Regions from separate parts of the Mus musculus genome. Here all the other regions are reported to be linked to region 3. The links are microRNA targets in miRTarBase. Many come from high-throughput screens and were not tested one by one. Region 3 holds a microRNA gene; each other region holds the end of a gene's coding sequence.

What was found. The annotated mature microRNA mmu-miR-743b-3p reads GAAAGACAUCAUGCUGAAUAGA and lies in region 3 at 3,330-3,351, shown strand. An mRNA with a match to its seed (bases 2 to 7 or 8) in the 3' UTR can be bound and repressed. Matches are read on the target gene's strand: a 7mer-m8 pairs with bases 2 to 8, a 7mer-A1 pairs with bases 2 to 7 and ends in A, and an 8mer does both.
Region 1: the mRNA of Cd8a is a reported target of mmu-miR-743b-3p. Seed matches in the 3' UTR shown: 8mer at 825-832.
Region 2: the mRNA of Lix1 is a reported target of mmu-miR-743b-3p. Seed matches in the 3' UTR shown: 8mer at 5,710-5,717.
Region 4: miRTarBase lists Opa3 as a target of mmu-miR-743b-3p. Seed matches in the 3' UTR shown: 8mer at 4,459-4,466.

Annotation. Positions count from the first base shown.
Region 1 is chr6:71,376,521-71,383,645 of GRCm38, forward strand. It overlaps Cd8a (CD8 antigen, alpha chain), which reads left to right. Exons shown (of 5, transcript NM_001081110.2): 5 at 340-2,651. The coding sequence ends at 391. Among named protein-coding and RNA genes, the nearest start is that of Cd8a, 6.7 kb to the left of the region's middle.
Region 2 is chr17:17,456,437-17,463,561 of GRCm38, reverse strand. Lix1 (limb and CNS expressed 1) reads right to left here. Exons shown (of 6, transcript NM_025681.2): 6 at 4,175-6,456. The coding sequence ends at 6,169. Among named protein-coding and RNA genes, the nearest start is that of Gm41537, 31 kb to the left of the region's middle.
Region 3 is chrX:66,773,492-66,780,616 of GRCm38, reverse strand. Mir743b (microRNA 743b) reads left to right here and starts at 3,285; the gene lies at 3,285-3,361. Mir743 (microRNA 743) reads left to right here and starts at 3,799; the gene lies at 3,799-3,860. Mir742 (microRNA 742) reads left to right here and starts at 180; the gene lies at 180-244. It also overlaps the pseudogene Gm14681.
Region 4 is chr7:19,243,971-19,251,095 of GRCm38, reverse strand. Opa3 (optic atrophy 3) reads right to left here. Exons shown (of 2, transcript NM_207525.3): 2 at 4,279-6,342. The coding sequence ends at 5,945. It overlaps Gm38499 (predicted gene, 38499), which reads right to left and starts at 1,661. Exons shown (of 2, transcript NM_001370864.1): 1 at 1,449-1,661.

The DNA.
Region 1 (7,125 bases), not on the chromosome of region 3:
CCAGCTTCTAATCTCACCCTCCTGGGACTCAGGAAGGTTCCAGGAAGCCTAACTGGGCATAGATGCTACTTCAGCTGCCTAAGAGTTGTGTGACCTGAGGCAGGGTCTTTAAACTCTCCTGAGCAGTGCAGACCCCTCTTTGGGTGCCTTGAGGACGAAAGGAAAGGGTGGCTGAGGTAATTCATTCATTAATGTCTAAGGACAAATTCTCAAAGCCATCAAAAACTGAGTGTGTGTGTGTGCGCGCGCGCGTGCGCGCGCGCTCGCGTGCTGGTACTACTTTAAAGAGGTTCTAGCCACAATGATAGTTGATCTCTTGTGTATCTTTGTCTCTTTCAGGCCGCTAGTCAGACAGGAAGGCAAGCCCAGACCTTCAGAGAAAATTGTGTAAAATGGCACCGCCAGGAAGCTACAACTACTACATGACTTCAGAGATCTCTTCTTGCAAGAGGCCAGGCCCTCCTTTTTCAAGTTTCCTGCTGTCTTATGTATTGCCCTCTGTATTGTTTTAGTAGGGGTGTGATGGGGACAGTTCCTTTTTCTTTATGAATTCTCTTTGACACAAAGCATACTTGTATGCATACAATGGGAGTAATGAGCAGACTGTAACACCAGAGCTAGTTCCAGTTTCGGGGTCCATGTCGCTGGTGGCCTCAGCACCCACTTGATATAAATCTCCTGTCTGCCCATCATATAGAAGAAGCTGAAGATCAGAGGTGGAAACAGCAGGATCTGTAGACCCGGAGAGAACCCAAGCTAGAGGAACCCTCACTGACTGGTGCAGGGATCTCACCCCCATCCCCTGAGCTCTCTGTTTAGGTATGTGTCTTTAGTATAGCATGCTTGTGCCTCAAACTGCAAGGAAGCAAGTGGTATGAATCTGTGATCTGCTCAGCTCTGGCTGTGAGCATCAGATGTAACAAATCAAAGTCAGGAGAACTGCCTTTAGCGGTGCACCTGGACATCAGAGCCCCTTGTAAGAACTGGGAAATTGCTGGCAGTCTAGTGGAGCGGTACGGTAAATCTGGAAAACACTCCCCTCTGTCACTGAAGGCTGTAGTAGAATCCAATTAAAGCTATTCAAACCACTGCCGCAGACCCTCTGGGTCCCTGTGTCTGCGTGGAATGGGTCTCTCGAGCAGGTGGGCAAAGCGTAGGATTAAACTGACAAACAGATGCACACAGGAGAGGCGTTGAATCTGAATGTAATGTCAGGTCGAACCTCGGACTTTTTATAATACAGAAAAAATTCCAGGGGCGATATGTCACACCAGACAAGGTACACTGAAATTTACCAGATACAAGAGAATGACTTCGAAAGGAATTTGCAGGAACTAGATAAATGTTTACAATAGAGATTATCAGCCCTGCCTAGGATCATCAGCCTAGTGCCAGGTAAGAATTTCACACTTTAGTGTTAAAAGCACCAGGGGGTAATTACTCTTGGCAGGCCTCAAGAATAATGTAGTGTCACGGACCCCTAAATTCCTAGGCCTTGTTAAATCTTATCTTGTCTGGAGAATCCCCATTTATCAGGAGAGTATCTCAACTTGCTCTTGGCATGGAATGTAGCCTGTACTAAAGATTTTTATCTCAGTGAGATTCCCAGGCTCTTTCTGCAGACCAGATGAGCTAATGGCCTTGTTTATTGTAATGCTTAATTAGTTACTGAATAGGTTAAACTCCTTGCTGTTATCTGGGATCTTGGAACAATGGGGGCGCTGGGGGGGGGGGCGGGGGGGCTTTAGCTATGTCAGAATTCAATCTTAAAAGGCACTTACAATAGGGTAATGCTTAATAGAGGGCACATGGATCCATACACTAGACTAACGCGGGAGTGGAAAATTAATTTATGGTTTAGAGGGAACGCCAGACTCCAGGAGGGAATTTCTGTGAAACTCTTTTCCTTGTGGGCAGCTTCCAAGCTTCCGCTTGTCAAACTGACCCAACTGGAGAGCGTGGCTTTCACCAGACTCCAGGAGGGAGCTTTCGTGAAACTCTTCCTCATGAGATAGCTTCCAAGCTTTCGCCTGTCAAGCTGACTCCACCAGAGTGCGTGGCAAACCACCACTGTGAAATTCCTGTAGAATTATGATTCTCTCTGCTCTTGGACAGCAGAGGGTGAGGTTTGACAGATACGACTCAGGCATCAGAGAAGCTGCAGGCAGGCCCTCTCCCATGTCTAAACATGAGACTTGGATGTGCTCCTGGGATCACCAGCATGCTTTATACTCTATAAACATAGAATCCTTGGAGAACATTCCTTAGCACCCCCGGAAGGCAGATGTAAAGAGGCAGACTAGACGTGGAGGAAGACGCTGACTGTCAAAACTGCTGCCCCAGAGCTAATTTCCTCTCACAGTACCATATAAGTAACAAATAATAGGCAATAAAAACCTGAAGGAACTAAGAGTCACCCATGGTCCTCTATCTATTGTTACTATCATTTTATACCTGATTATTTCCTATGCATATATATGTAAGAAAGATTACACCCTGGGTTTTAAAACACAACAGTTTTTGTAAGCAGATTTAGTAAATAAACATGTATATTATCATTTAATGGTTAAATAGCATTTCATAGTTTGGTTGTATCCATTTAGTATTAAATTGTTTCAAACTTCCCCCTACTATTACACTACTAAACTTGCACAAATCTCTGGATTTTTATTTTGTTTTTTTCATTTGTTTTTGTTGTTCAAGAAAGGGTCTCATGTACAGGGTAGACTTGAGTTCCCTGTGTAGCCAAAGATGACCTTGGATATATGACCTCTCTGGCACCACCTCTGAGTGTTGGGATTCGGGGGCAGTGCCGCTATGCCCTGTTTATGTGCCGCTGTGTGTGGCTGTAGGTGATTAACCTCTCAAATATTCATGTCAGTGGCAGCTCGAGTTCCTCCCTACCTGCCCCAGTGTTCTGGATTCCCGAATGAAAGATGAGTATGCACACACACACACACACACACACACACAGAGCCTTATATTTAATATGCCTTAATCAGCTCAATGGTTGGGCCACTCCCAAACTTCACATTACTAACACCTCCCCTCTGATATTCCTGAATTATTACTTACTAAAATCTATATTCCATCTTTGCTACTCTAGACCCAGTGTGGGTGAGGCAATTCCTAGCTCTTAGATGATTGGCATGTTCTCTACTCTGCAGCCCTCAAGCCTAGATCTTATTCCCTTCCTGGCATGGTATTCTTCTTTTCTCCCTGGTCCCCTTGCCCTTGAGTCCTAAAGTCCTGCCTCTGTTCTCTCTCTTTCTCTCTGCCCAGCCATTGGCTACTGGCAACTTTATTTAACAATCAAAACCAACCAAGGGCAGGGACCCTCAGTGTCTTACACATGTGATTCTCATGCAATTTTGGGAACTCAAATGACATAATACAAGCATTAAACCAAATCCACGACACTGCAGGTATAAACCATACAAGCATTCTACCAACTGTGCTACACTGCCCACTCCTGACACGTCTTTCTTTAGGGTATGTACCTGAAAGTAAAATTATCAGGTCTTTCTCCTTTACCACGGTCCATTATCACATTGGTGAAAATGGATTGATCAACTCTTCTGTTGCCTTCCTTTTCTCTTGGTGACAGATGAAATGACAATTCTCCCACCAGCAATCACAAAATCTTCAATTTTTAGTTGAGATAAAATATGCATACTAGGGTAGGGAGCATACATACAAGCGCCAAGTGCTCATTACAGAGTTAGATCACCCACATAATCAGGACTGGGTCAAAACAGAAACTCACCAGCAACCACCACCACCAGCTAACTGGTCTTCCACTACCAGGCGCCTTGGTATCATGATTTCAGTCTCAGCACTCAGGAGGAGAAGGCAGGCAGACCCCCTGAGTTCAAGGGCAGCCTGGTCTATATGGCTCACATGGCTTGAACTCTGTCCAGTGTGGCAGCAAATGCCTTTACTTACTGAACAGTCTTGCTAGTCCTGACCTTGGCATTCTTGACTTCACTGCTGAAAAAAAACCTTCAAGACGGGCTAGTATGAAGCATGGCTGGAGTTTCTGAAGAGATTTTAACACAGGTGTATCTGAGTTAGCAGAAAGAGAAGCGCTCAGCAAAGGACAATACACGCTCGGGTGTAGGCGAGGCACCTCCAGATTCACACTAGAGTGTCCCAGAGGCTCTATGCAGGATTTTGAAAGCTCAAAGGACTTTTTTTTTTTATGGGTACACTGTAGCTGTATTGATAGTTGTGAGCCATCATGTGTTTACTGGGAATTTGAATTTAGGATCTCTGCTCCTTCCGGTCAGCCCTGCTCGCTCCAGTCTAAAGATTCATTAATTATTATATATAAGTACATTGTAGCTATCTTCAGACACACCAGAAGAGGGCATCAGATCTCATTACGGATGGTTGTGAGACACCATGTGGATGCTGGGATTTGAACTCAGGACCTTTGGAAGAGCAGTCAGTGCTCTTACCCGCTGAGCCATCTCTCCAGCCCAGCTCAAAGGATTTTTAAAGGAATCTTTTTTTTTCCTTTTGTAATAAAGTTCATATATATGTGTGTGTTTGCATATATACATATATATGTATATCCATATGCATAAACACATTCCCCCCCCTCCTGTACATTTTCTCTTCAACTTTCAGCTTAGATACTGTGGTAGCCTGAATGAAAATGAAAATGGAACCCGTAGGTTTACAAAAAGTGGTACTCTTGGGAGGTATGGCCTTGTTGAAGTAGGTGTGGTGATGCTGGAGGAATAGTGTCACTGGGGGTAGGCTCTGAGTTCTCAGCTCAAGCCAGGCCTAGTATGTCTTGTTGTCTTCCTGCTGCCTGCAGATCCAGATGTAGAACTCTCATCTCCTTCTCCAGCACCACATCTGCCTGCATGGCACCATGCTTCCCACCACAATGATAATGGATTAAATCTCTGAACTGGACCCCAGCCTCAATTAAATTCTTTCCTTTATAAAAGTTGCTGTGTTCGTGGTGTCTCTTTACAGCAACAGAAACCCTAAGACAGAAGTTGAACAGCACAGAGGGGTTAAACTTGGAAGACTCTAAAAGGAAATTTGTTTTTTGTTTCTGTACTTGTTTGTTTTTTAGTGATGCACCCACAGAAAGGATTATCCACTTCTGGGTGGGGGGCGGCAGGAATTAACATCTTACTTAATAGCAAGGTCTGATCTTGAACTCACATGTTCCCCATTTCTTGCCCCCAGTGCTACAACATCAAGTGTGAATCAGCCGGCTCTCTTGTGCTGGTTTGGATCAGGAGCAGCTAGACCTTACTGGTCTATGTGTCTACGGGGGTTTTCCCAGAGATGCTCAGATCATGAGTGCTCTCACCTCATCTATTGGTGGATTCGAAGTAGATTATTGAGGTGGTGGAACATCCTGCCTTGTGAGGGGAAGTAGTCATTGGGAACGTATCTTTGAGGTCTGCATCTTACTTTTTGGATGCTCTCTCCTTCCTGTCCATGATGTAAGATGCTCTACTCTACATCTTCTCTACCATACAGCAAACAGCTGTCCTCACAGGCTCTTGCAGCCACGTTTCAGGAGCCCAGAAACAGTCAAGTAAACATACACTGAACCCCACGAACTGTTCTCCCTGGGCTGAAGATGCTCAGTGGTTAAGAGCGCTGGCTGTTCATCCAGAGGACCTGGGATTGAGTCTAGTACCCACAAATGGGTTCAAAACTATTAACTCCAGTTTCAGGAGATCTAATGCCTATTCTGGTCTCCTCGGGCACTGTACATACACACATCACACAGGTATGTATAAATGTGAGAAAACACTCATGTACATAAAAATAAAATTAAAAGCAAACCTTTATCCCTTGAATTGTTCTCTTGGGTATTCTGTCACAAGAGATTTAAGCAACTTACAAGTAAAATGGTAAAAAGCACTTGGAATTAAAAATGAGGACTATTCATCAGAGCTAGCCTTCTGACTCAGAAGACAACAGGAAGTCAAACTGATGGCCATGCAGCCTACTGTATGCTAAGGGAGGGCTGTAAATTTAGACTCGGGCTCACAGATGGCCAGGGCCATCCAATCTGTTTGTTCCTCACATGCCCAAGGAGAACACCACAGTACCTACCATACTGTTAACCTCAGGCTCAACTGCCAATCTGAAGCATTGTTTCTACAAGACCCCAGGGACAATGGCTGTAATACCTTTTTTGAACCAAGGGGCAAGAAGTTTCAGGCTGTAATCTTAGCTGGCTAGAATCCAGCCTCAATATGGAATTAACAAGTATATAAAACATATATCTCGGAGGCTAGAAAGATAGCCAGCTCAATATGAGGACCTGTGCTTGATCACTAGCATCCTTGAAATCGCAATGATGGGGAGACCAAGGACAAGGATCCTTGCAACTCCCTGGCCAGACAACCTGGTCTAAAGGTGACCTTTAAGTCTCAGTGAGACCCTATAAACCAAAGCAAACCAAACTAAACCAAATCCATACAAATCAAAGCAGCACAAAAGAGGAATGCCAACCAAGGGTGTCCTCTGACCTACACACACACACACACACCTACCTCTTCCCTCTCCACAGCTCTACTATGTACATACACTCAAAAATTATAATTTATGTACAGAATCTAGATTTAAATATATATGCATTATATATAATGTTGTAGGATATTTGGTCACACTGTGAACCCCGAGACTGTGCTATTTACTGACAGTATCTGTTTCTAGTTGTGGTGTGGCTTAGCCGTTATCACACATCCTTAATTCATTTGGCTGGAATAGAGACACAACCTTAGTACTCACACACACCCCTACCTTTTCCAAATCACTCCCAAACAATTAAGTTTAAGTAAAGTTAGTTTGTAGAAGGGATCACCGGTGTTTGAAAGTGATGACTAATTGAGTGGCAAAGTGACAATCAGAGAAAGACTTGACAGACCAGGTAGGCCTAGGTTAGCAGATGGAGGCAGTAAGCCTCAGAGAAAACAATTACTACAGGAGAATAAAAGTTACATTTTACATATTTATACACACACACACACACACACACACACACACACATATACTTTCTGCATAAAGAAACATCAGAGAAAACTTTTTTTCTCTAGCTTTTAAGCTGCTTTGAAGAGAGCTTACATCCTTAGAAGGAGTCTG
Region 2 (7,125 bases), not on the chromosome of region 3:
TCACCCTCATGGACTTGCTCCCTTCTTTTGTATAGACAGACTTTCAGCTTAACCCATTATTTTAACCCTGACGCACTCTTTTCTAACTGGATATATAGTTTCTGAGGTGTTTCTTTTCCCCTGTAAATCCTACTGTCAACAAGTGTGGCACCTGAAATGCCTGGGAGGAAGGTGCCTGGATGAAGATACAGCCCACTGAACCCTCCTTTCCACAGAGTGCGAGCCAAGCCCTATTGGCTTTTCACAGACAGCTGATAAATGGGATAAGGAGATACTGTCCTTGATTACACATGAAGGAATGAAAAAAGACCTCAAACAAGTTGACAACAAGTATGCACTAAATAAAAGACAAAGTTGAAGGAAAGTTGTCTTAAGTTACCAAACTTAATCTTTTTAAAAAATGTTCTCATTTATGATAAAAGGAACTATATTTTGGCATTTATGATACATGAAGTCTCCTCTCTTAGTTTTAAAAAGTTCATTTGCACTAGTGGTTTTGTGATCAAAGGCTTTTACCCAATAGACAAATAGGTAGAGATGGTAAATGGTAATAGATAGATAGATAGGTAGGTAGATAGATAGATAGATAGATAGATAGATAGATAGATAGATAGATGATAGGTAGATGATAGATAGATAGATAGATAGATAGATGATAGATAGATAGATAGATAGATAGATGATAGATAATTGATAGATAGATAGATAGATAGATAGATAGATAGATAGATAGATAGATAGATGATAGATAGATAGATAGATAGATAGCCCAGATCATTTTACTTATTAACTGAAAGGGTAAAACATCTCATTCTTTTTAATTTTAGGTAGGTGTAGTCTCAAATTGGCTTTTCAGTTTTTCTAGCAATCTGGAATCTCAATAGATCATCTGCGTTTTCAAGTTTTCCCTTTGGAAACCATCTTTCACCAAATACTGTGTATTTGCTTCCCAATATCACCAACGAATTACTTATGGGCTAGAACAGTGTTTGTGTAGACACAGTAGATCACTTCAGAATAGCATGGTTCCTACATTACATTATGACTGTCTACATCACAACTCACAGGTCAGCAAGGCAGGTTTAAGATTTTCAAATAATCCAGTCTCAAGTAGGGATGAATAAAGGATCTGGACTATTGAACTGTGAATTTTTTTTTTACTCCAACTGTTTGCATTTGTTGGGTTAACAATTACCCCTTTCATTTGGGAGCATTAGCAGCCACTGATAATGAAAGCCAGTGCCCAGCAGAAACAGACTAGAGGAAATTTTCTGACTCACTTGCATAGCACCAATTCATCAGTTCTGAAAATATATGAAGTGTGACTGCAGACTAATATGAGTGATTAGATTTTTGTGTGCAACAGAGCTCTTACATATAAATGAGCAACATCCCCTTCAGGAGTCCTCAGGGTGTCTGTCTGTGTGTTCCTATGTGATTGGTCTGGAAGCACTTTTATATTTCCCCTCTGGGGAGATCATTCTTTTGAATATCTTTAATAGGGCAGTTTGTCCTTGAAGGAAGAATTTGATTTTTTGGAAATGGTAAAATGTATTCATGGTACACATCTGTTGCTTGTGTCTACCCAGAAGTCTTTTTCCCAATTTCTGGTTGAAGAGACCACATTTCTTCTATTGTTTATGCTGTCTTTGAAGGTCTTTGAGAAGGAAATAGTTTTTAAATATCTTGGGAAATTGCCATTTTTTCCCTCTGGTAACTGAACCCATATTTTGCCCTCCTCCTTTTGCACTATGTCTAAGTTGTCTATATGAGCTTGACTTGACCACTGGTTGTAGTGAGACAGACAGGTAACACAGGTCTGACCACAACCATCAACTCAGAAGCAGACTTGGGACAAAAGCATTGTGGTGGTACTTGGTTCTTGGATTGGAACTGATAGGGTGACTTACTCATATGGCTACTATCATGTTGCATCAGGAAAGAATCACAGTAAAAATGGATCCAGAATTTAAGAAAGCAAACCCTGAGACATGCGCAATCATGCATACGTGTGTGCATAGCCATGAAAAACCACGCAAAGATGTCAAGTCCTGGTTTATTGTTCTGGTAGAAAAAGCCATTCTCTTTGTTTTGTTTGTTTTCAGAAATTTGACAGAAGAAACCATGACTAAATGGTGATAGAGAGTGAAAAAAAGACAACCAATCTGGACATGAGAAATGACCCCAGGGAGATGTTTTAGAATAAGGCCCGCTACCTAGGGCTGTTCCTTGTTCTACCTTTTGGATCTGGAAACCAAATAAGGGCCTTGCACATACTAGGCAAGTGCTTGATCTTTGAGATAAACCCAAATTTCTTGGTTTATCAGACTCAGGTTTTGTGGATCAAAATTTTAGGTACTCTATAGCTAAGTAGTCTTTTCTGGGAAAATCGCAACCAATTCTGGTCTTGCTCTTAAACACACACACACCACTCAGAGTTGGATTAATTTGTTTACAAATAAACTTATGGAATACAATTCATGCTGAAATTAGGAACTGCCTATAAATTGCAATCTAGTATTTCTCACTGGAAACCAGCATTCATTAGAAATCAAAAGCTGTAAGAGTGAAGTTCTGCTTACATTTCTACACCAGTTTTGCTCTCAGACAAAAATATGACCAAGGTTTACTTAGATTGAAAGAAGTGAGTTTTTGGCTCCTAGCAGGATGCTTGAAAGTCAGACCAAATGTTGGTGCCGAGGTGCTCTTTAGAGAGGAAAAACATAGCTCTTTGCCCCTTCTGCTAATTTCTAGCTTCCAGAAAGATACTCCTCTGTATGTTCTTACCTGAGAGGCCAGGGCTATACTGCTCAGTGAAGGATATATTAAGTGAATTCAGGCTGGAATATCAAAGACTGGAGTGTGGTCAGAAGCATGAAAAGAAGTATTAAATAACCTAGAACTGCCTAGAATTTGCTCAGTCGTTCTGCAATACAGTGGAACTTTTTAACAAACAAGGATCTCAGGTGATTCTGTGTAGATGTTTCACATACAGTATATAAAAAAAGGAGTCCACCCTGGGCAGAGTCTGGATCAGATGACTTGTTAGCTATATTGAAAAACACCGAGGAGATTAGACTAGTTTGTGATAGCATTTCCAAGGGTAATTAGGCCATGAGAGCTCTGACCTAACTAATGGATTAATGCCTTCACGGATTTATAATAGGATGGTATTGTTGGGAGTTCATAGGGGATGGACACTGGTTGGGGTATGTCACTGAAAGTGTGTCTGTCGGGGCTGTATTTTGCCATGGTTTCTTCTTGTATTCATCTTTTTTTGTTTTTTAGCTGTCAATGTAAACTGACCCTCCTCCCCTGTGTATGTGTGCGCACACATCTGTGTGTACACTTTTCCTCTTTTAGTTCGGAGTGACAGAGAAAACATGTTCAAGGAAAAGTATCTACTCATGTAGTCTAAAAGAGTTCTAAATTTTGGTTTGGGTCCAAGATCAAAGTGGGACAGTGGCTCTACAGGTTAGGTAATGGACTTGCATCAGTGATGACTAGAGAAAGCAGGCAGTAGCTGTCAACTATGCTGTATATTAGAACTGTCTGATGAAAGATATTCAAGACTGATGCATGGGCCATGCACCCAAACCGTCTAATTTCACCTTGAAACAGTCTGACCACTTAAAAAAGTTAAAGCTCTTTGGGTATTTTACATGCACAACCCAAAACACTAAGGTAGAGAAAATAAGTTCTTTTATATTGGAACCCTAGATGAATGCAGTATCAACACTCCAGACCATTTGCTCCAAGTTTCAGCGAAGAAGAAGGCTGTGATTTGAATTTTTATGGACACCACAAAAACATAAGGTGACAATGTTTGGGCTAGTGGTTACCTATGAACATAGTGAAAGGTGAGGAAAACTTTGATAGTCTGACATAAGCTATGAAGAAAGACACTGCGAAATAAAAATAAGAACTCTAAAACCTCTAGTCTATAGCCAACTACAATTGTTTTGACTGGAAACATTTTTCCCCCAAAGAAATAGGAGAGTTATAAACTTTTGGGGTTTCCCCCCCATTTGTTTATGCCCAGACTGAGGTGACCAGATTCTCAGTGAAGAACACATCCAAGGACTTGATTCTATTTCTTTTCTAGAAATAGTTAAGGTTAAGAGCAAAAGCGCACGTGAACCGTAGCTTTAAAAAAAAAAAATGGACAGCCAAATTCAGAATATTGAAGGAACAATGATTTTATTAAATCTGTAATGTTCTGGTACAGTTGCCAAAGTTTAGTGTCTAGTTTGTCTTAATTTCTTTCTCCATAACAACAAGGTGCATTTTGATTTTTATAAAAATTAAACCATCATGCCCCAAACAATACAATTCTTGATTTCAGAGTAATGGTAGTAATCTTAAAAATATGGTCTATGGCCAGGCAGTGGTGGCGCACGCCTTTAATCCCAGCACTTGGGAGGCAGAGGCAGGCAGATTTCTGAGTTCGAGGCCAGTCTGGTCTACAGAGTGAGTTCCAGGACAGCCAGGGCTACACAGAGAAACCCTGTCTCGGAAAAAAAAAAAAAAAGAAAGAAAAGAAAAGAAAAAAATATATGGTCTATGGGTTACTAGATCTCTCATATGAAGTGTAAAACTATGTATGCTTTTAAAATTGTGAGCTTCAAACTAAGGGTCAATGATGCTCTGGGCTAATCCATAAATTTTGGGGCAGGGCCATATGTTTTATGAAATTATTATATATTGCTATGAGATAGTCTGTGGCTTTTTATTCAATTTTCAGGGAGTTCATAGCAACAACAAGCACCACCTTCATGGCTCCATCTTCTTAGAGACTCCTTTATTCTTGTCCCTTTCTACAGTGCAGTGTTAAGAACAAGCGTGCGTGTTTGTCTTGTCCCTCTCTTAGGTTCCTCTGTGCCAGTGTTACAGACATGTGTGATACTCGGTTGGCACAATGCCCTGGCTGAAGTTGATTTGCTATTAGATAGGGCCAGCCATGGCCATAACCTTTGTTGCTTTTGCTGAAGTTTCTGAGAATATTCCAAGGAAAAATAGTCTACGTAATTTTCAGTTCAGAGAATTTGTACAGTGTCATAATTATAAAAGAGAGGAGAAGCTTGACCCACGCAAGCACTGTTCTTGCATCTAATCAGATATCAATCTTCTGAGGTGGACATTGCCAAACACAGTAAACATGCACTGCACGTAAAGATCCCAGCCAACATGGGGAAATGTGCTGAATTTGAAATGATAAAAAGTTTGTAAAAAAAAAAATGAAATAGAAATTTCTTCACTTAAAAATTTATTCAACACACACACAAATCCTAACTCCTTCTCAAGATTACAAAAATCTAAAGTTTTTTTTTCCTTAGAACATTTAGCCTCATTATGGGAAGTGATATGATTTTTAAAAAAATATCATTTTAAAATGAAATCATCTAACACTACACACCATCACCTTTTTAGGACATTGGAATAGGGCAGTTATGTACTTAATTTCATCCTGTCTGAGAAGTATATGTGATAGTGTTTGTTATTAAAGCTAATTTCAAAATATATAATGAGGATACAGTAATTTTCAGGAGGGTTCAAAACATGCTGAGTGTTGTACATTTTTTTTAAATCATCTGTACTATTTATTTACTCTTAAGTATTTAAAACATTGTTATAGGCCAGGTGGTTGTGGTAGATGTAGTTAATCCTAGTACTCAGAAGCAGAGCTCTGAGTTCAAGGCCAGCCTGATCTAAAGACAAGTTCCAGGACAGCCAGGGCTACACAGAGAAACTGTGCCCCCCCAAAAAAAAAGAAAAAAAGAAGTTATCATGATCCTTTCCCTAGTCCTGGCTGCTGTTTTCTCCAAGACTGCTCTACTGGACTGTTGTGTGAAGCAATGCATACAATTTAGCAAGGCACATATCAACTAGGTTTTTTAGATTAGATCAAACCCTGAAGAATGCTTTCTAAAGTAATTTTGTTGTCTTTCTTTTTATTCTGAAGTAGAATCCCTAAGGGAATGGTTGAAAACATACATGAAGTAGGAAGTTGGGATCGGGATCAGTCAACCCTAGCCTCCCATTCTGTGAACAGACTGTGTAGGAGCAGTACAGCCTTCAGGTACTGACTATCATGCTAAAATCTCTAACAACTTCTGTCAGGTAGATTCCTGATGTGAACGTCCTCAGGAAACCTGCCACCTGGCCTTGCTAATGATAGCCACACAGAGCCGTGAGGCTTAGCTGGTCATCACTGGGTGAGGAAGGGTCAGGGTCACTATAGATCTGAGTCAGGGCCAAGCTCAGGATTTCTTTTTTTTCTTTGTAAAATCGTAGTTCTTGTCCAGCCTTCCTGGCTTCCTCCAGCTGCCCTAGGGCTGCACGCAGCTCTTGAGAGAGAATTCCTGGTGATTCACGCTCCTTCATAATCCAGTCCAGGGCCATGTGGCTACGCATCTTTTCATCTAAAGAATATTGGGAATAGTAGGAGATGACTTCCTAGAACCAAGAAACAAAAATTCAGAGTGTCAATAAAGAGAAAGAAAGGTGCATGTGTGCAGAGCCTTCCATACCTCCCCAATCACATGGCTTTCAAACAAGTAACCCTAACTTTAAAAATCTGAAACGAGGGCTAGAGAGATGGCTCAGTGGTTAAGAACTCAATTCCCAGCAACCACACGGTGGCTCACAGCCATCATCTCTAAAGGGATCTGATGTCCTCTTCTGGTGTGTCTGGAAACAGGTATAGTGTACTCATATAAATAAAATAAATCTTTTAAAAAAATATGAAACCAATTTCCATTGACATACTTCTAAAAAGGAAATGATGAACTAATCTGGTCTTGCAAAGCCTGTCACTCCAGAATAAGTCAAAACATAACACTAAAAATTACAAAATGAAGCTCTAGAAAATGCAAGCCTGTCCTTGAAACTGTATTCCTGTAACAACTAATATAAATATAACTTAATTCTTCATTGAACCCTTAAGCCCAGTATCATTGCCTTTGACAAGACAGAAACAGGAAAGGAGCTACACAGACAAGTTGAGTTAGAATAAGATTTGGACATGCCTAGTACAGGAATGGGGAAGGACTCAGTCAAGGGGACTTCAGAACAAACAAGACTCTGAAACCCAAGACTCTACATCCTAGCTTCTGTGCTTTGGTG
Region 3 (7,125 bases):
TAGAAGTATACTAAGAAAAATCCTAATGGTGGAACATGAGAAGACAGCTTCGAAGAAGAATGTGTGGTTAAAAAAAAAAAGTAATTATTGTTGACGACTTACTTCAATGTTCTATTCAATTTTATTTCACATGTTGAAATAAAGACTTCAGATGGGCTGGTTCTAGAGTACCTGGGCAGTGCTCTACTCACATGGTTGCTAATCACGTGAAGTGTAGGTGAAAGCCACCATGCTGGGTAAAGTAAAGCTCATCATGTTCTTCATTTGTTGTGGCCTTGGGTAGTAAAGATGAAGAAACTATACATCCTTATTATGGCTCCAGAATCTGCTTCCTTGTACCTGAAGAAACTATGCTCTCATTTTTTTTTTAAGTTTAAATGTTGTGGAAGTTAGCATTATTCTAGCTTGCACAGAACCCAAATTATACAAATTATAAGAACAGAAAATTGCATGCCAGTCTCAATAGGGATCATGAATATAAATATCAGAAATAAAACCAATCAATGATTTCAGGCCCAACTGAATATCAATTCAAATATCTTGTGACAACTTAGATGATGAGTGCACGAAAGTGGACTGAAAAGCTACAAGTAATTAGAGTCTTCCTTTATAAATATGGCCCTAAGTGAAAAAGAACCAAACAGATTTAAATTCAAGTCACTGAAATTATGATGGTATCAGTGATTTGAATTTAAATAGACCAAGTTCCTATCTTCTGTATTCTGTAACTTTCTCCAGTAATTGAACAGCGATATACAGGTACAATTGTGTTGTATTCTCATCCTATGCTCCCAATATTCTGATTCTTTTAGAAGATTTTCATTACCTAGTTTTTAAAAGTCATTTGCAAAGTATATCACTGATTAATCTTAAAGTCACACTGGCTATCTGGCTATAGGTCAAGAGGTCTTCCTTTATCATGCAAGGTGACAAAGTATATTTTGTATTCCCAAACAGTTGAAAATAAATAAATCAATGTTAATATGTCATGCTGTAATTGGTGAAGTGATGAAAACTGCTTGGGATGATTAGCCTACATGGATGATACCTCCATATCTTCATGCTTTATGTTATATCTCACTCAAGAAGCTGTTAGACAGTTGGACTACCGACAAATCTTCCAGGTAAAGTACTGCTCTTTAATTCAGTTATTTTTGATAGGTTCTAGGTAGTATTAGTGCTTTCCATGTAAGATCACTGATAATGGTTTTCAGGATGATCACAAAGCCTTACTATACAATTGTGTGTATCTTTTTAATCACTTTCATGGGACAGCATTCAAGCATCTATGTTAGGTAAGGAAAAGGAGAACAAGGTGCTAAAATTAAGAATTATGCTTTCATAAAAAGAAAATGAGGTACACTGTGTTAATGAAAGACTAAACACAGAAACGGTTTGAGTCTTTGTTGCCCCATATCCTTACTTTTTCAACATAGTGTAGACTATCCATGTTTCACCTCATGGGTACTTTCAAAATAGAGAATGTAAAGAAAGAAGATAATCTAAAGAAAAAAAAAATAATTTCCTTCCCAGTAATTAAATAAAGTTAAAGGACTTTTATCTCTCTGATCCAGAAGTGGTAGAGATAGAAAGTGAAGGAGAGTATATATATTCCCTAAGAACTTGAGTTAAGGACTCCTGAAACTTCTTGGTAATGCAAGAGTCAGATGAGATGATATGTCTCCATTCATTTTGGTGTGTGCATTGTGATATAGGACAGATACCAGTCACTTTCTACTAACCTCTCTCAATATAAGGATACAGAAAAAAGTAAAACTTGATGAAGATGATGAGGACGATGATGAGGATGATGAGGATGATGATGATGATGATTTTGATGAAGAGGAAACTGAAGAAAAGGTCCCAGTGAAGAAATCTGTACGAGATACCCCAGCCAAAAATGCACAAAAATCAAACCAAAATGGAAAAGACTTAAAACCGTCAACACCGAGATCAAAGGGTCAAGAGTCCTTCAAAAAACAGGAAAAGACTCCTAAAACACCAAAAGGACCTAGTTCTGTAGAAGACATTAAGGCAAAAATGCAAGCAAGTATAGAAAAAGGCGGTTCTCTTCCCAAAGTGGAAGCCAAGTTCATTAATTATGTGAAGAATTGTTTCCGGATGACTGACCAGGAGGCTATTCAAGATCTCTGGCAGTGGAGGAAGTCTCTTTAAGAAAAGGGTTTAAACAGTTTAAACAGTTTGGGGTATCTCTCTCAATATAAGGATACTCATAAAGTACTGTCATTGTAAATGTAAGAACATAGATGCACATGCAAGAGTATTTTCTGATTCTAAGATCGATTGTAGCTACCTTCACAGGACATTGTTTAGGTGAAGATATAGGGGGAACCTTTCATCTAATTCCTATTTCTCATAGGTGAAAATATTTAAAATTAGGGACATAGCACTATGGAAAATAAGTTTAGTTTCATTTTAATTTTTAAGTGCTTTTTAAATTAAAATATTTTATAATTCTCCCCTTTCGTTTCTTCCCTTCAGCCACTCTAATCAACTAACCCCTTTGTTCTCTCTCTCATTCATGCCCTGCTTAGTCCATATTTTGAAAGTTTTATGTATGTTATTTCAGTGCTGACCATGGAAAAGCAGTTGGTGGGCTCTTCTCTGCTGAGTACTATTTCTCCTGAAAGCTTTTTAGTGTCAATCCCTATACACATTAATGTCAGTGAGACTTAAGTGCGTGTACACATGGTCTCTCAGAGTGAGTAATGTTCAACAAGCTCCTTACTTTGTATACCCTGGACCTTATACTTCGTCTTCAAAGGCATCCTTGAGATTGCTACCATTTTCATCATTTCTCATTTAAAGCCCCACTTTTTTAGACTTAAAAGGTGCTTAAGGTTGTACACATGCCTCAAAATGGTCAGAGAGTGCAATTATAAAAGTAATATGTTTATTATTAATGGATATTTAATATCAGCAAAATGAGATAAAAAATTGGGATCACAACATTCAGAAGGAGAAATGAAAGGTGAAGGATTTTGTCATTTCCTGGACCTGTGAATAAAGAAATCTAGTGTTCACCTATCACACTAGACTACAAGAATTGATGAAGGCTCATGAAAACTAGTATATACTGTATTTATCTTCACAGCATACATCCTCAAGGTGAATTTAGACAGGATCCTCAAATATGATGGTTATTACTACATGGTAGAGAAAAAAAGATGAAGCATCAGTCATACTGATGCAAAGCATGCAACTAGTACTTAACTTTTTGTCCAGGACACTGAAATAGGAGTGGGAGAGGGCAGTATGTTGTGTGCAGTGCTGTGTTCAGACTGGTGTCCATCATGTGAAATATTTGTGAAAGACATCATGCTGAATAGAGTAAGGCCCATGATATTCTTCATTTATTATGCCTTAATTGGTCAGAGTGGTGCAGTGCAGTTACACTTGACATGAATCCCTCATTGTAATTAGTCATATGTAACCCTCAGGATCCATATTTATCCAGAGTATAATTTTAGATGTTCAATTTTTACACAATTATAACATGTAGGTTAAAGAAAAAAATACTTAGAAGAAACTAAACCCACAATCAACAAATGATACATCTTTTATCTATGTAGATTTGAGAATCAACACTGTAAATAGAGACCAGGACATAGTATACAGTGAAGAACTAGAAACTCATAGCCTACTGTAGGAATGTTTTCTAATATATACATATAAACAGAAGTGAGTTTTCATGTTGAGTGGGGCAGAATGATTTGTGTGACATGTAGATGAAGGATCTGGGGCAGAGCATTCTCATTAAAGTTCTTGTATGCAGTGCTGTATTCAGATTGGTGCCTGTCATGTTTATAAGAATGAAAGACACCAAGCTGAGTAGAGTAGGGCTTATTGTGTTCTTCATTGCAGGTGGTATTATGTGGTCAGGGTGTTTTATCTGTAGTTACACAAAATGTAACCAGTCCTAATCTGTTACCTAAGTACAATTTTGATTCCCAGTGTTAACTTTATAGCCGCATATAGATTGGAGAATTAACACAAAGTTTGGCAGTCAACCATATAGTAGGACATAGTATGTTATGTACAAGGAATATTCCCTAAGATAGGAATAAATATGATATATGTTAAGGTTTTATACTCATTAAGGCAGATTGATAAATAGGATACTATTAGGACATGATTGAGGCCCGCCCTACATGCTAAAATTCTATACAGAGCCATATTTGCTTAAACTGTTAACCAGTTCTTCTGTGTGAGTAGAATAAGTCTAACAAGCTGTCTCATTACTTTTAGCATAGTGATTTTTGTATAAGTACAAATATCCTAGCATTTCTGATTATGGTGTTCTTTGACTTTTCTGGGCCCTAGGACACCTTCAGGGTTTTTAATGGTGTTGTTGTCACCTTCATGCTTTTTGTTGTTGTTGTTATTCAAAAATTCACATAGGTCCGATAAAATACAGAAGGAAAATTCAATTTATTTATGTGCTAAAAAACATACTTTTAAGAGCCTAAAGCACAGTCTTTAGAATAATTAGATTGTATGCTTGAGGCCCTAAGTTTGGCACGTGGTCTGGCAAGAATGAAGGAAAGGGTATTAAGCTGAGAGTGATGATCAGTTATTGGTACTCAGAGTTATTCATCTTATTGGAATGCAGGAAGAAGATGTCAAATTATATATGCAAGGTGATGTATAATGAGTTTTGCATTCCCTAGGTGTGTTCAGGGTTCAGGCATCCTTCCTGATGTCATAACTTGTACAAGTGATGAATATTATTAGAGGTTATAGAGTTGATAGAGTCAGCACTTCTACATTTGTTTTGTTTCTTTTTTTCTGAAAATGTTTAAGATATATCCTGACCACAATTTCACATCCCCCATCTTCTCTGAGATCCTCCCCACCTTCACTACCAGATTTCTTTATCTTCCTTTAGAAAAATCAGCAAGATAAATGAGTGAATAAAGAATAATTTAAAATGCCCAAGAAACACATTATACACATAAAGAGAGAGAGAGAGAGAGAGAGAGAGAGAGAGAGAGAGAGAGAGAGAGAGGAGAGACAGAGAATACCTACAAAATATAATTGAGTTCATATTGTGTTGGCTGTATAATTCTTGGCATAGAGCCTACAATTAAATGTGGTTACTATACCCAGTGAGATGAAATTGAAGAAAACAATTTTTCTTTGTAAGTAGCTGTCAATTGGAAATAATTTATTAGTTAATGATGGGAATTCATATCCATTTTCCATGCTCACTCATGGGAACATGTTTGGTTTGAACTTGTTCAGGTCCTGTGTATTCTGTCACAGTCTGGATGAGTTCATATGTGCATCAGTCCTGTTGTATATAGAAGGTCTTGTTTCCTTGATGTTATCCATTACCTCTGGCTCTCATTGTCTTTCAGCTTCATCTTCAGCACAACTCCTTGATCCCCAAGGGAAGGTGTTTGATAAAGACCTCCCACTTAGGAATGATTATTTCATACCCCTTACTCTCTACACATTGTTCCAAGAAAAAGAAGCATATTTGATGATATCTGAGGAAAACACTGATCTATACATACTATAGAATATCATTAGGAGTCATTTTATTGTTATGGTCCTTTACAGAAAAACTGGTTTTCTCTAGGCTCACGGCCTTTCTAGTCTCATGTTTTTGACTGATTGTATAGAATTGGATGTGAATTCTGTCTCATGGAGTGGGCCTTAAGTCCTATTATAAAGAGGTTATGTTCTGCCACAACATTTGTACTACTTTTTCACCAGCATGCCTTGCAGGCATATCTTTGTTATTGGTCATATGGTCTGTAATTGGATTAATGATCATCTTTTTTCTTTGATAACTTGCAGCATAGATTATCTTCAGTTATCAATACTAGTTAGTAGAGGTGAATGCTGTACAGAGACAAATGCTTGATTTCTCCATATTCAGTTTGTGTAGAATAACCAAAAGACTTGGCAATAGCTTAAGTTTGAGGGTTTTCATGGTGTCCTTTTGAGCATTAGCTATCTAGCTATAAAAACAAACTAGCATCCACACATAAAAGAAAACATAACACATTTGCTTTGGAGATCTAGGTTAGTCAATTAGCATATTTTTAGTTCCATTCATTTACCTATGAAGTTCTTCATTTACGTGTGAATAATATTCCATTGTGTAAATGTACAAGTTTTATTATCCATTAATCTGTTATGGACTCCAAGGTAGTTCCAATTTTCTGAATGTTACAAGTAGAGTATCAGTGAACAGGGTTGAGGAAGTTTATCTGTAGTAGGATATAGAGTCCATTCTGTATATGCCTAGAAGTTGTATAGCTGCATGTAAATGCAGATCTATTCACAGCTTCCTGTGGAAGCTCCACAATGATCTTTACAGTGGCTGCTCTTCCCTCATCTATTACTCCTTCCTTTTTCCTCACCCCCATCCACCCCTCTTCTCTTTATGCTAAGCCCTGGCCACACTTCCTCCCTTTCTCCTCAGAAAAGGGGAGTCCTCCTATGGACATCAACCAGACTTGGCATTACAATTGCAGTAAGACTAGACACATCTTCCCCAGTTAAGGCTAGACAAAGTAGCCCAGTTATAGGAAAGGAGTTCAGAGTTAGGCAATAGAGTCAGAGACTGCCCCTGCTCTTGCTGCTAGAGGTCCCATAGGAAAACTAAGCTGCTCATCTTTTACGTAAATGTAGGAGGCCTAGGTCCATTTCATGTAAGCTTCATGGTTGGTGGTTCAGTCTCTGTGAGCCCGTTTGTTTGTGTGTACTATATTTAATATATATGGAAAGAAGGGATATTCTTATGTTTCTGATTTTAACGGAAATAGTTTGAATTTCTGTCCTTTTACTTTGGTAACTTCTGTAAGTTTGGTTTAGGCTGCCTTGATTGTGTTGTATTATGTCCCATGTATCCCTAGTTACCCAAGACCTTTTATCATGAAGTGATGTTAGATCTTGTCAGGTCATTTCTGCATCTAGTGAGTGATCATGTGGTTTTTGTCTTTTGATCTGTTTATGTACTGGATTGTGTTCATCAATTTTAATCTGTTAAACTTAATTATAGTTGGTAATATTATTGATATGTTCTTGGAGTCAGTTTGCAAATTTTTTATTGAAAACTGGTACACCTATACTTATATGGGAAATTGCTCT
Region 4 (7,125 bases), not on the chromosome of region 3:
AATGCACAGAACACATACATGCATGTACATATTCAAATATTTATATAGTTCTTATTGATTTATTATTTTATGTGTATGAATATTTTGACAGCATGTATGTCTGTGGACAAAGTGCGTGTGTGGAAGAGGGCACTGAATTCTCTGGAACTAGAGTTAGAAATGGTTGTGAGCCACTGTCACTATGTGGGTGCTGGGAGTTAAAAATTGGTTCCTCAGTAAGGTTTTTTAGACAGGGTTTCTCTGTATAGCTCTGGCTGTCCTGGAACTCACTTTGTAGACCAGGCTGGCCTTGAACTCAGAAATCCGCCTGCCTCTGCCTCCCGAGTGCTGGGATTAAAGTTGTGCGCCACCACACCGGGCTAGCTCTTCTTTATGAAGTAGATTACCACAAAAGAAGACATAGTAGCAAGTCCTACTGAGTAATGACTTTGCCAAACTGTCACTCCAGAGACATATACAACATTACACACATCATGTTACAGATACAGATGTGCACAGAATTACACAACCCTGAGATCCACATACAGGGAGAAGAGAATTACTTTACAGTGTGCCCAGGATGGGTTACATAAGCCCCTCCTTCTCAAGGATTGCAGTGCAAGCTCAGGCCTTCTGAGGCTGCTGGTAGCAGCTCCTGTGGGGTTTGAGAATCAGGAACACAGACGAGTGAGCTAATGCTTGACACAAGGGGTCCAGGGCCTTAGTGACCTCCTGTTCCAGAGGTTTAGTTTGATTGCCATTTTTATTTAGTTTGTTTTTCAAGACAGGGTTTCTCTGTAACCCTGGCTGTACTGGAACTCACTCTGTAGGCCTGGCTCGCCTCAAACTCAAAGAGATCCTCCTGCCTCTGCCTCCTGATTGCTGGGATTAAAGGCATGTGCCACCACCTCTCTGCATCTTCGAGACAGGGTCACTCTACATGCCACTGGCTGTCCTGGAACTATGTAGATCAGGCCAACCTAGAACTCAACAGAGCTCTGACATCCTCTACCTCTCCAATGCTGAGATTAAAGGTGTGTGACAGCCAGGCATGTTGGCTCATGCCTTTAATCCCAGCACTCTGGAGGCAGAGGCAGGCGGATTTCTGAGTTCGAGGCCAGCCTGGTCTACAAAGTGAGTTCCAGGACAGATAAGGGCTATACAGAGAAACCCTGTCTCGAAAAACAAACAAAAAAAAACAACAACAAAAGGTGTGTGCCACCACACTTGGCTCCCTGAGAGGGTGACCTTTGTCTGCCCTTGCTGTGTGGGGTCAGTGAACTTCTCCTGTAAAGAGCCAGTGGGTAACTAACTGTTCTCAAGCATCTCAGAGTCTCAAATTCTGCTAAAGTGGCCATCGACAATGTGAAAGTGAGTGAGCACAGCTGTTGTAATAAACATTTATTGACTGCTTCAGCTCAGGGGCCTAATCTACTAAGCTTTGCACTGTTAGGATTGATTGCTCTTACCTGCGTCTTCATCCTATGGAGTTTTCAACTTTGAACTTGAGGCACCTCCACAGTAGCAGGATGTCAGTTTATGTAGTGCCGGGGACTGGATTCAGAGCTTCAGGCATGCTAGACAAGAGCCCTGTCTACGGCATCACTTCCCCAGGGCCAGCTCTTTACCCATATGCTGGAATGGCAGCACCATGGTGGCTCTGCTGAGCTTTGTCTTGTCCCTGGCTTATCCAGACACGGGGAGAAAACTGGACACAGTAGCTGCTCCATGCACATGTGTCCAGTTGGTGGGTGATAGCACCCCAGCCACTAAGGCAGGCTTTTCCTGCCAGTCTATCTATCCACAGTGCTCACACTGGCCAGCCAAGGGATGGCTTTGGGGCCAGGGGAACCGGCTGGAGCTTGTATAAGATTCATTCTCTTATGGTGGCTTGTCCGATGAGACCAACAGCCAGGGATGGGACAGGCAGAGCCACCAACACTGGCTCAGGCTGTGTGAGCTGGTATGACAAGGTTCTGTCTGCAATGCCCTGAAGCCCCAAATCACTCAGAAGGGAAGAGTCTAGGTCCAGCCCCATCTACTCACATAACCAGGTAATGCTGAGTGTGTGTGCAGTTGTTCCTCACTGGGTTGTAAATCCATGAGACTGGGGCTGCAGCTGACTGGGGGATGGGGACCCAGCATGGCAAAGAACAGGGCAGCTTTTCTGGTTAAGATGGACTTTAAGGTCATTTTGAGAAGGACAATGACTCCCCAAGTGCTGAGATTCAGAGGTACGCGCTACCATGCCTGCTGCAATTCTGGGTTGGTTTAGACAGGGTCTTCTGTAGTCTATTTATTTATTTATTCATTTATTTATTATATCTAAGTACACTGTAGTTGTCTTCAGACACTCCAGAAGAGAGCATCAGATCTCATTACAGATGGTTGTGAGCCACCATGTGGTTGTTGGGATTTGAACTCAGGACCTTTGTAAGAGCAGTGAGTGCTCTCACCTGCTGAGCCATCTCTCCAGCCCCCTAGCAGTCTTTCTTGTTTAGCAGGAGTACCGAGTGTTGGGATTAAAGGCCTATGCCATCCCTGGAATTAAAAAAAAAGTTCTCATCACATTTTGTTTATTTATTTATTTAGTGTGTTTATGGTTGTGTGCATATTTCAAGGTAAATATGGAGGTCTAACAACCGAGGGAGTCAGTTCTCTCCTTCTACCATCAAGTCCTGGGGATCCAACTCAAGTCATCAGGCTTGGTGGCCAGTGCTTCTATTTGTCAGTCTATAGGATTCTTTTCTTTTTTCTTTTCTTTTCTTTTCTTTCTTTTTCTTTCTTTCCTTCCTTCCTTCCTTCTTTTTTTTTTTTTTTTTTTTTTTTTTTTGGTTTTTTGAGACAGGGTTTCTCTGTGTAGCCCTGGCTGTCCTGGAACTCACTCTGTAGACCAGGCTGGCCTCGAACTCAGAAATCTACCTGCCTCTGCCTCCCGAGTGCTGGGATTAAAGACGTGGGCCACCACGCCCGGTCTTTCTTTCTTTCTTTCCTTCTTGTTAAAGATTTATTTATTTATTTATTTATTTATGTCGCATATGTGAGTGCACTGTCCCTGTTTTCAGATGCACCAGAAGAGGGCATTGGATCCCATTACAGATGGTTGTGAGCCACCATGTGGTTGCTGGGAATTGAATTCAGGTCCTCTGGAAGAGCAGTCAGTGCTCTTAACCTCTCAGCCATCTCTCCATCCCCCTTTGATTTTTTTTCAATTAAAAGCACACACAAATAAAATTGAAGACAACCAGCTTCATTCATAAATTTATTGTCCTCCTTCTCCCTTTGTGGGGATATGTAACATTGCATGAGTAGGGAGTCAGAGCCATGAAAGCTGCTCTGGCCTCCTGCCCCAGAGGCTTCTGGAACCACACACCACACCACGGTGGCTTCCTGCACTGTCATCATGGGAGAGGCTGCCATGTCCACATACACCAGGACCATGTGAAGGCTCCACTGGGTCAGGGTGGGCCCCGAGGCCTACTTTCATGCTTGGGTGACCCAAAGGTGACATTTCCTCTTGGTGCCTGTTTCCTCCCAAGCAAGCAGAGAAACCATTCCTATGGGGCTCTTCACCACCAGTGAGGCTGGTCTGTTGGAGTAAGGACTGACCTGATGGAGCTCAGCGCCCTCACCGGTCTTGGCTTTGCCATAACTGCTATAGACTGACCCAGGGCAAGGTGGCCAGGGCTGGCCCTGGAACTCTTAGTGACTCCACAGGGGTAACCATGGCAAACAGGCAGCTTTCCTGGCTCCTCACTCTGTCCTCCCCTCATCACCTAGCCATGTGTGTCCTCTGTCCCTAGTTCAGCTTTCACCTAACTCAGCTGCTCCTAAATTTAAAGACACCAACTTCAGCTTCTTCTAGAAGAAACTGAGGTACAGTTTCAGTATTGGTTTCAGTCTGGGGAATCCTGGGGATGGGTCATTTTCATCCCCTTGGGGGAGCCCTACAAGTGCCACCTCTAGGGACAAGGGCCAGGGAGAATGAACCTGTTACCTATAGTCAGACATCTTGGGTGTGGCCTGGGGCTTTTCTGATAAGAGGGCAGAACCCAGTGCCTCTGGCCACTGGGAAGAGGTTGGGCCTTATCTCATCTTGCCCTGCAGCCAGAATCTTCTGGGTCCTCTGGTCCCTCCTGAGCTATGGGGTCTTGGCCAAGTCACCTAGCTTCCCTTTTCCTGAGCCTTAGTTTCCCAATGTGGGAAGAGTTCACAGGATGAGTCTCGGCTCCTTTTCCCCCAGAGCCAAAACCTCTGCCTTTCCTCCAAGGTTGTCTTTTTTTCTTTTACTTTTGTTTTGTTTTTTTGGAGACAGGGTTTCTCTGTGTAGCCCTGGCTATCCTGGAACTCACTCTGTAGACCAGGCTGGTCTCGATCAGAATCCACCTGCCTCTGCTTCCCAAGTGCTGGGATTAATGGCGTGTATCACCACTGTCTGGCTTGGTTGTCTTTTTTACTTTTTGCCTTTTTTTTTTTTTTTAAAGACAGGGTCTCTCCCTGTGGTTCAGCAGGCTGTCCAGGAACTCACGATGGGACCCAGGCTCATTCCTGCCTCAGCCTCAGAGTGCTGGAATTTCAGATATGAGCTACCAAGCCCGGATTTCTCTATTGTTAATGATCACTGGCCCAGTTTGAAGGTCCGTATTAATTATGCCCCTCATATATCCTTAGGAGGCCTCCTTATTCTGCAGCTCCATCAGGAACTGGACAACCATGACAGTGACTGCTGCACCCACAATCCTTCTGGAGCTATAGTGGTTAGCCCAACCCCAGAAGCCATGAGTAGGCTGCCGGAAGAGCCAAACAGCATAGTAGGGGCCTTGCATTTTAAAATGGCAGAAGGCAGCAAGCTGAATAGAGGGCCTTCAAAAGAAAACTCCATGTCTGAATCCTGGGGCCTGTGTGTCTCCATTTAGAAAAAGGGTCTTCAGAGATGTAATAAAGGCTCTTTCAATATGGTCATCCTAAATTTAGGGTGGGTCTTGTATTCAGGGCAGGTGTCCTTGCAAGAGACAGGTGGGGGAAGAGAAAGCCACATGAAGACAGGACACAGAGTCTAGGAGATCTGGGGCCCCTGAAGCCAGAAGAAAGTGGGGCCCAAACACCCTGACCTCTGCCGCTGGCTTCCAGAACGGTGGGAGAACAGGTTACTCTGTTTCCTCCATCACATTCCCAGCAGTAAGTCATGTCTGGGGGGATCGAGCAAGGAAGGTGGGGCAACAGAAAGGGTAGAGGGACCCAGACCTAAGGGGTATGAAGGGTCAGACAGGTGTGTGTGTGACATCTAACCCACCCAACTGAAAAATACCACAGAAGGACAGGAGGAAATATGTGCCACCCGAAACAAGGTTCAGGGACATTTCAGGATAGGGCAGCGGGGCTGCGACTGAGACAGGTCAGAATCGAGCCAGCTAGGATCCGTCTGTGCCTAGGGAGGAAATGGGGTAATGCCACAGGCTGAGGAGTAAGGGGATCTATACAGGCGTGATCCCCTGGGGACCTCAGAGGGAGAATGAGGAGAGAGAACGGGAACATCAATTGCACTCTGCTGCCTCCATGGGAGCTACATTGACCTGAGGCAAGGCTCAAGGTGGCCTGTGTTCACCGAAGGAAGGAGGCGCTCCAATGATGGGCAGGTGACCTTGTCTATGTCATGATCAGACTTGAGCCCTGGTTCCATCTTTTGCCTTTGCCAGAGCAGTGGAGAGTCAGGTGTCTGAGACCTTGAAAGTCCAATGAGGGGCTGAGGGCTCTGAGTCAGAGACTGGATGGGCTCTGAAGGCTTCTGCTGAGTGCTCCCTGGGGAAATGCCCAGAACCTGTCAGTAAGGGGTGACCACATGTCACAGCTACATCAAGGTCCTCGTGGTTTCTGCTAGGCCAGAGCATCCCGGGCCAGGAGGTGTGAGGAGAAGGCTCTATTGGAGGCCACATGGTCACAAACAAGTCCAGGCCTTAGCAGCTGGCTATTTCTTGGAAGATGCTGCCTGGCACTTGGAAGTACAGTGAGCATTGCAGACCTGACCACGCACCTCCTGCAGCTCCTCCCGCAGCTCCTCCAGGGCACTCAAGGAGGGCATCGCTTGTGCCTGAGCCTGCAGCGCCTCTAAGGCCAGTGCCAGGCGGCCCACCTCATCCTGCAGAGCGTTCCAGGCTGCCCGCTGTTCCTCCTCCTTATTGCGCTGCTGAGTCTGGTGGCGCCAGTACTCCAGGACCAGGCAGCCTCCGCCCACAATGAAGATGGTGGCCTCGCCCAGCAGCTCAGCACCCAGCTCTGCTGCTGCCTCCTCATTCAGTGGCTTGATGGTAGTGCCCCGGAAACCCATTATGCGCATCTTCGTCCGCATCTCCACCCAGTGGTACACTGCAGGGGAGAAAGAGGTCAGGTGTGTTCCGAAGCTCCACCCCCAATACTTTCTTGTTCCAGTTGAAGTCAGAGACCAAGGTGGGAGTGGGCAGTCACCTTAAGCAAGACCTGTCCCTTGCTTCACTCAGGGAACATGGAATCTCCTCCCAGGGTGACCTGGGGGCTTTGTTCCCTCAGTAATAAGGTCAGCACCCAGGGCTTCATGCATGCTGGACACACCTGCTACCACTAAGCTATAGCCCATCTTTTGTTTTAGATACATGGATGGATGGATGGAGCTCACACTGGCCTTCAGCTCCCTACGTGGACAAGGATGACCTTCAGCCTCGGACTGTTTTTCTACTTCCTCATGTGCTGGGATGACAAACATTACGTCCTATTGCTTTTTACTTTTTTCCAGATGTAGCACAGGCTGACCTTGAACTCATGATCCTCCTGCCTCTGCCTCCTGAGTAGCTGGGGTAGTTCTGCACCATAAGGATCAGGCCTAGCTCCAGAGACATCCATCAAAGCACAAGAAAATTCCAGAGAGCAGCAATGAGCAGAAACCTGACAAGAGCAGAGGTCCTCAGATGGGAGGCCATGCCCCTAACAGGTCACAAGCACCTGCTCCCCGACTGTTAAGAGCACACAAGCTATAAAGGCCCAGCAGCCACACTGGCACTCTGTAGGTCACCACACAGAGTGGCCAGCTGTCTTTCTCCACGGCAGTCGCCCACTTCTCTGGCAAGAGACCAACTCCCTTTCTTTTCCTTCCCAGAATGCAGAGGGAGGGTTGCA